Cricetulus griseus: one gene and its partner. The protein of the gene in region 1 interacts with the protein of each later gene in a biochemical or structural test. Links are inferred from orthologs where the notes say so. Each region holds a gene or a part of one and is shown in the gene's direction. Other genes may lie near its edges.

Region 1 (3,747 bases):
TTAAGCAGCTGAGGCCAACACTGCAGGGGGCAAGCAGGAGGGAGGGAAGGCTTAACCCTGCAGGTCCCAGGCTTCACTTGAGCCAAGCCATGCTTGTCATCAGTCTAATCAGTCAGTGTTGTGGGAATCCAGACGTTATGCTGAGAGCTAGAGTGACACTGGGAGAAGTGGTGCTGCAAGCCCCATTCCTCTGGCTAGATTATAGATATCTAATGTCCCAAACTCAGAAATGGAGCCTCAGTCCTGAAAAACAGTCTAGTGGGTCAATAAATGTGTCATGGTAAGGATGGAGGGCAGAGGGGTCCTCGTTCCCAAAGAGTGCCATTCTGGCTGTTTTCCTCCTTAGATGGGTTCCAGGAGCTTCCAAAACAGAGTCTTCAGGCTTGGGAGACAGATTCTTCCTCCTTTGTTTATAAGTCTGGGGGGGGGGGTAATTTTTGCCCTCCAGCTCCCAAGGCCATACCTGCCTAACATAGCCTAGGGGAGGCCTGTAGAGCAGCTTTTTGAGTGTAACTTCTTGGGTACCAAGTAAGGAAGTTGAACTGTCTGAGATCTATCTTACTATCTCTGCCCTTCGCAGAGGGAGCAGAGAATCTGCCAAAACAAATGGAGTTATGTGGAATAATCTTCCAGTCATCAAATGCGGCCACTAGATCAAAGTTGGAAAGGAACTTACTTAAGATTTGAAAGCCATGGCTCTCCTAAGTCCTCCCTCTCTGCTGGTTTATGCTAAAGGTTTCTCTGCCTTGCAGCGACCTTATTCCATGCCAAGGCTGCCAGCTGCTGGACTCACCTTATCCATGTGTATATTCAGATTATTTCTGGCTACGATAGACTCAAGAAGCACAGGACATAAACCACGGGGTGCATGAAGTCAGTCTCCCATGAGCTTCCAAGTCCTGTTCAGCCCACCGACACACACACACACACACACACACACACACACACACCGTGGTCTCCATGCCTATAAACTGAGACCTGGTGGAAGAGCTGAAGGTCCAGTGTCTTTGTACTTAGGACCAAGTGCCAAGTGTCCTGGGAATTACAGGTTAACCCCAGCTAGAGGTAGGCATCTCCCCAGGGAGGCTCACCAACAAAGATGTCTCTTAGCAATAGGTTTGGAGAGGACAGAAGGCATCCCAAGAGGCTTGGGAAGAGATAAAGTCAATGAGGAAAGTGGAGTTCAGAAAAACTGTTCAGAGCAGAGTGGAACCAGCAGGGTAGTGCCGACATCCTAACCCTGCTGTGCTTGCCAGAAACCCCACTTAACAGGGCTGCGTCCCCGGGGGCCCCCTCCTACTCCCTGCCTCATTCCCTTCCTCAGAGGCAGGTCTGTGGCTTGGCTGGAAGCAGCAAGGACTGAGGGAGCACGGCTGTGGGACAGGCCACATAGCTAAAACCCGGCGGGCCATAGGGCCCCGCGGAGGAGGCCCCAGCAGGCGGACCAGGTTCCTGAAACCTCCAGACACTTCCAGCCTGTTGCTTATTCATTCAGAGTAGGAAAGCGCCAGCCTAGCGAGCGGCCAGCCAGTGTGGGGCTGGCCATGTAAGGGCCCCAGGAGGTCCTGCCCGTCGTGCCCTGCAGAAGCCTCGTGCAGCCCTGGGCACCGCCCCTGCCCTGCCCTGACCCCTTGGCCTCGAAATGCTGTCATCGGAGGAGCCGTCCCGCTCGGGACAAGGCCAGGATGGACAAAGCTAGAGCTTGGGCAGGCAAGGAGCCGTCCTGTCCTCGAGGCCGTGGGAAGAGAAAGAAGCACGAACCCGGGCCCACTCCTGAGAGCCTCTCTGCCCACCCGGCCTCTGCAGAAGGGCCACTATGGCTCTGGCCGGAGCCGGTAGCCAGCTGGGGACCCTGGTGTGGGGTGCCTGCCTGTGCGTCCTGGTGCACGGGCAGCAGGCGCAGCCAGAACAGGGCTCAGACCCGGGACGCTGGCGACAACTGATCCAGTGGGAGAACAACGGGCAGGTGTACAGCCTGCTCAACTCGGGCTCTGAGTACGTGCCCGCGGGGCCCCAAAGAGGCGAGAGTAGCTCCAGAGTGCTGCTGGCAGGCGCGCCCCAAACGTCTCAGCGGCGCAGCCAGGGGGGACCCCGGCGTCGGCAGGCGCCATCCCTGCCCCTGCCTGGGCGCGTGGGTTCGGACACTGTGCGTGGTCAAACGCGGCACCCATTCGGCTTCGGCCAGGTGCCCGACAACTGGCGAGAGGTGGCCGTCGGGGACAGCACAGGCATGGCTCGGGCCCGCACCTCTGTCTCCCAGCAACGGCACGGGGGCTCCACCTCCACCTCCGTCTCGGCCTCGGCCTTCGCCACCACCTACCGCCAGCCATCCTCGTACCAGCAGCAGTTCCCCTACCCTCAGGCGCCTTTCGTGAGCCAATATGAGAACTACGACCCCGCATCGCGGACCTACGACCAGGGCTACGTGTACTATCGCGGAGCAGGCGGAGGCATGGGTGCGGGGGCGGCGGCTGTAGCCTCGGCTGGGGTCATCTATCCTTTCCAACCCCGGGCACGCTACGAGGAGTATGGAGGTGGCGGCGAGGAGCAGCCCGAGTATCCGGCCCAGGGCTTCTACCCAGCCCCGGAGAGGCCCTATGCACCGCAGCCCCAGCCCCAGCCCCAGCCCCAGCCCCAGCCTCAGCCTCAGCCTCAACCCTCTGACGGCCTTGACCGTCGCTACTCGCACAGCCTGTACAATGAAGGCACCCAGGGCTTCGAGCAGGCCTACCCTGATCCCAGCACCGACGGAGCACAGGGCTCCACCGGGGCAGGTGGCACCTATGCTGGTGATCCCCGCCTCGGCTGGTACCCTCCCTATGCAGCCAATGTGCAGCCCGAGGCCTATGTCCCTCCACGAGCGGTGGAGCCACAACCCCCGTTCCGTGTGCTGGAGCCGCCTTACCTGCCTGTGCGCAGTTCTGATGCGCCCTCGCCGGGTGGGGAGAGGAACGGCGCCCAGCAGGGCCGTCTCAGCGTGGGTAGTGTGTACCGACCCAACCAGAATGGTCGCGGTGAGTACTGTCCTTGGTTCCACATTCTGGTCACAGGTGAATGCTGCCTCAGGGATTCAGATACTCTGTCTCTTACCAAAGGTCTCCCGGTAGTGGTTGAGCGAGAACCGTGTGGCCAACAGCAGTGAGCCTCTCCTCCCATGCCCTGAATCCATCCATTATCCATCAGGGTCACTGCATTCTGACTCTGGCTTTGGGGTAATTGAGGAAGGACTAGCTAAGCTTTAAGAAGTACTTTACAGATCTGGCTGGGGTCATCTAGGGACAAGTAAGGAAAGCCCGTCTCCCTGCCTCTCCCTCTTCCAGTCAGGGAATCTCCTAAGACTCTTAGAAATTACTTTATGTCAGATGCAAAGATTGAGGCAAAGATCTTGGGAGCTATGGACCTTCAAGGTCAAGAGGCCTTAAGGATGCTTCTGGAGGTACAGCAGTGTCCCCATGCCTGGACCTCTGTGGGCTGGCTGGTCATTGGTGAGTTATGTAGGAGGGCAAAGAGCAGCACTTGAACAGACATAACTTGCAGACCCCAAGGGGTGTCCAATAAGGCTGGGATGCCAGAGCCCACTGGCCAGGGCATACAATTCAACTGAGCACTAAAAATCTGGGTAATGAAGATAAAGTAACATTTTGGTGCATTAAAAATCCATTATGAACAAATATGTCCACATTTTAAATAGACTCAGTAACTGAAATATCAATATGGGTCCTGTCTTTATTTGAAACAGGATATTTG
Region 2 (3,647 bases), on another chromosome or scaffold:
TTAAGAGAGAAAGGGCTGATTTTGACTCACAGTTCAAGGTTGCATCATGTTGGGGGAAGTCACAGCAGTAGCACCCAGAAGCAGCTGGTCACGTGATATCCACAGTCAAGGAGCAGAGAGTGATGAAAACTAGCTCGAACTCAATCTTTCCATTTACTCAGCTCGGGATCCAAACCAGGGAATGGTGCTGCCTGCTTCAGTTAATTTACTCAACATAATCTCCCATAGGCATGACCAGAGGCTAAGTAATCCCTCATAGGTGTGCCTGAAGGCTCATCTGGAGCCTGTAAATTGACAGTTAATATGGTCTCACAGAGAGTGAGATCGTGATCTGACAGGTATCCGGGAATCTGAGCTCTTGGTAATAACAGATTTGGCTGCCAAATCATGTTTTCTTGTTTCTGGGGTTTGTTTGTTCATTTTTTTCTGTCACACTGATAGTGATGTGCTTTGGTTTCATACAGATGTGAATGAGTGTGAAACTGAGAATCCCTGCGTTCAAACCTGTGTCAACACCTATGGCTCTTTCATCTGCCGCTGTGACCCTGGATATGAACTTGAGGAAGATGGCATTCATTGCAGTGGTAATGTGCTTGGCACTGGAGCTGTCCACCTGTTCAGAGATCTGGGGCTGGGGCAAGGAGGGATTCATCCCAGGTGTTTCCTGTCATTTCCTGGTTGCGTGTCTAGTTGGAGACATTTCCCAGTGTCATGGGAGCATAACCACACAGAACAAAGATGAGTCACTTCCTGAGATGTGGAGTTCAGGTTTACCTTCCTGATCATGTGACCTTCAACGCGACATCAGCCAAGCTTCTGTCTGGATCCCAGAGGGAGTTGGTGAGAGGGAGGGCTCACCAAATATTGCCTGTTGGTCTGAGAGTTATCTGTCCTTTCCCAGCAGTGACTCAAGACCTGAAGATGGCATAGATAATATTTATAGAGGACAGTGATCTAGGGATAATTGCTTTTGCCACTAGTTTAGGAGGACTTCGACTAAGTAAGTCGTACATGTAAGTGCTTTGGGAATTCCATCAAACAACCATAGTCCAGCTCTAGACCTGGCACACAGTAAGCATGCAGCAAACAAGTCTGGAGTCAGTAAGTAGAAGTGTGACTGTTGAGTGAGTGAAATCTTAGCCATTTGTCTCGAGAACATAAATGTGGTTTAGTTGACTTATTTATTTATTTATTTATTTTTTACAAATTCCAGTTGCTCTCATTCTCTACTCAGTCTAGTTTCTTGAGTCTGTTGTAATTATCTTATTAAACTCCTCTCCCCACCCAGAAAGTTAGATTCCTAGAAAGTTAAAAAAAAAAAAACTATTACGAAAGTAAGAACTTTTTGAGACTAAGAAACACATTTTATTTATATTTAATCTGTTGCATATCATACAATACAGAGCTATGGGCTTACTTGTATGTCTCTGTCTGTCTGCCTGCCTGTCTGCCTGTCTGTCTCTGTTCTTTGTAAATGTTTTGCTAACACAAAATCAACCCACCAGTTTTAACCTCCCCTGCAGCTGTGAATTAGCTCTGTCTGCATTAACAATGACTTTCAAAATAAAAGTAGGCAGTGTTTTAGGTGTGAAAACTACCTGGCAGAATGGAAAGATTCCCAGTCTTGGGTTTCACTGTCACAGGAGCCTACCAAGGCTGTGAATGAGCTTGTGTGCCAGCCTCCCCTAGGACTGGGATGTTCTAGGGACAGAGTTCTCAGAAACAAACGGTCACCTCTCTCCAGGGCCAGGACCCTCAGAGCCATGGCAAGCAGTTACAGAGCCTCAGCCTGATTAAATACCAGCCCTACCCAGAGGCATCAAAGGCCCCTTTCTTCCTAGATTTCAATTCCCCTCATGACATTCCTTAGGGAATCTGAGCAAAAGAACTGAGAGGTGTGGAAAGCTTTGCATTATGGGATGTAATGGATTAGTACCTTCCCCAGAGTTACCTGCAATCCCATAGACATTTATTGACCGCTGTCAGCTAAGGACTCTGGAGCCAGATGTGGCTGGGTTCAAAGCCTTGGTTATCCCTGCTTTTCATGGTCAGGGTGCTGTCCAAGCTTCAGTTTCCTCTTGGATGGATAACTGTCTTCATGGACTGGTCATAAGGAATGGGCAAATTCATGTTCCCCAATGGCATGATCACATAATGAATCTTCTCTGAATATTAGGAACTTTGGGCTTCACGAGGAACTCAAATCCTTTCTTGTTGGGCAGGATTTTCTCACTTTTCCTACATGGTCACTGGATACGACCTTCTACTAACTTTAAGGGGAGCCCTGGCTCCAGCAGGCCTTTTAGACAGCTAGCAGTGACCTTAGGAATTTGCACTTTCTCTAGATGCTGGGTTGCTATTATCTTCACTGGGTTCTCAAAGTTGGGGTAGCCCCTCTTTGCAACACTGGACACTCCTTGTCCTCCTGGGATTTACTGAGTCATGCTGATTCTAGAAGTGAGATGGGGTTTTAACAAGGAGGAATGAAAATGGCCTAAGGCCTGCTCTCTGCCTAACACCTGGCTTCTGTTTCAGTGGAGGGCAAAGCCACAGCCCTTTGTGGGGGCTGTGGGGTGGAGAACCACACACACACATGCAAAATCTTTCTAGAATTTTGGAATTGCAGATGTTAAGACAAACTATAGTGTAGTGGGTTGGTGACCCTCCTTCACCCAGTAGAAGGTAGGGTGGGTTTTTCCTCCCATTCTACAATGAAACTATGCTGAGGTATTTCTCCCATATTGGCACTCCCAGATTTGATGATTTCTAGGTCCTAAACAGAATGTTACCTCATCATGTTCACCAGAGTCGTATTGAGGTACCACATTCAGATCTGTGATTTCCTATCTAATCATTTGATCTATGAACTTGGTCTAGTTGCCAAAGCCCTGTGAGCCTATTTATTTATTTATTTATTTATTTATTTATTTATTTATTTAAAGACAGATAGTCACAGCACCTTCTCAGGGTTGAGGCGGGGATTAAATACAATGAGATATGTTGAACATTTAACATGGGGGTTGACACACAGGAGTCCTCAGGAATCGATAGACATCATTACTAAGATCAAGTAAAGGAACTAATGGAATTGCAAACTACACAGAAACAAATGATGGCATTGTATTATGATAGGCTGGGGCCAGAGTCCCCAGGTTTTTCTGAAAAGCTGGTGGAGGATTGAATAACACTGGACTATGCTAACTCCAGTTAGGGGATGACATCCTAAGTCCACTGACCCTTTGCCCATGGCTGGGAGACACCTCAGAAAGATAGGGAGAGTTTCCCTTCTTGGACAGAGAAAGCAGTGGCTATGTGACACGTGGATTCTCCAAAGACAAAGCAGCAGCCTCTTTCATGCCAACACTCTCTCTGGGTGATCTGAGCCACCAGTGGTCTGTGAGTTACAGAGTAATCCAAGGACATGTCACATGGGGAAACCAGTGGAAATGATTTTCGGGAAACAACAAATGTAAGAAAAACATGTTTTCTTTGGCATGCCTGTTGAATGAGGCGCAAATAGGGCCTACATTGCCAAATTCTGTGTGCGATGAAGAGTCGGCCTTTCTGGAATGCCTGCTCCAGTGTCAGCTGCCAAGGTCTATGAAGACTAATGGTAGCATCCCTGGGACAATGCCATCCCCAGCCAT

The links.
Region 2: the proteins of Loxl1 (region 1) and Fbln5 form a complex in vitro, tested with the Homo sapiens proteins (2 studies listed by BioGRID and IntAct). The link is inferred for Cricetulus griseus from reciprocal best matches to the Homo sapiens genes LOXL1 and FBLN5.

Annotation. Positions count from the first base shown.
Region 1 is NC_048597.1:169,910,025-169,913,771, reverse strand, and holds the start of Loxl1 (lysyl oxidase homolog 1), read left to right. Parts: upstream 1-1,433; 5' UTR 1,434-1,816; coding exon 1,817-3,014; intron 3,015-3,747. UniProt on the Homo sapiens protein: Catalyzes the oxidative deamination of lysine and hydroxylysine residues in collagen and elastin, resulting in the formation of covalent cross-linkages, and the stabilization of collagen and elastin fibers.
Region 2 is NC_048598.1:104,252,464-104,256,110, forward strand, and holds part of Fbln5 (fibulin-5), read left to right. Parts: intron 1-464; coding exon 465-584; intron 585-3,647. UniProt on the Homo sapiens protein: Essential for elastic fiber formation, is involved in the assembly of continuous elastin (ELN) polymer and promotes the interaction of microfibrils and ELN. Stabilizes and organizes elastic fibers in the skin, lung and vasculature.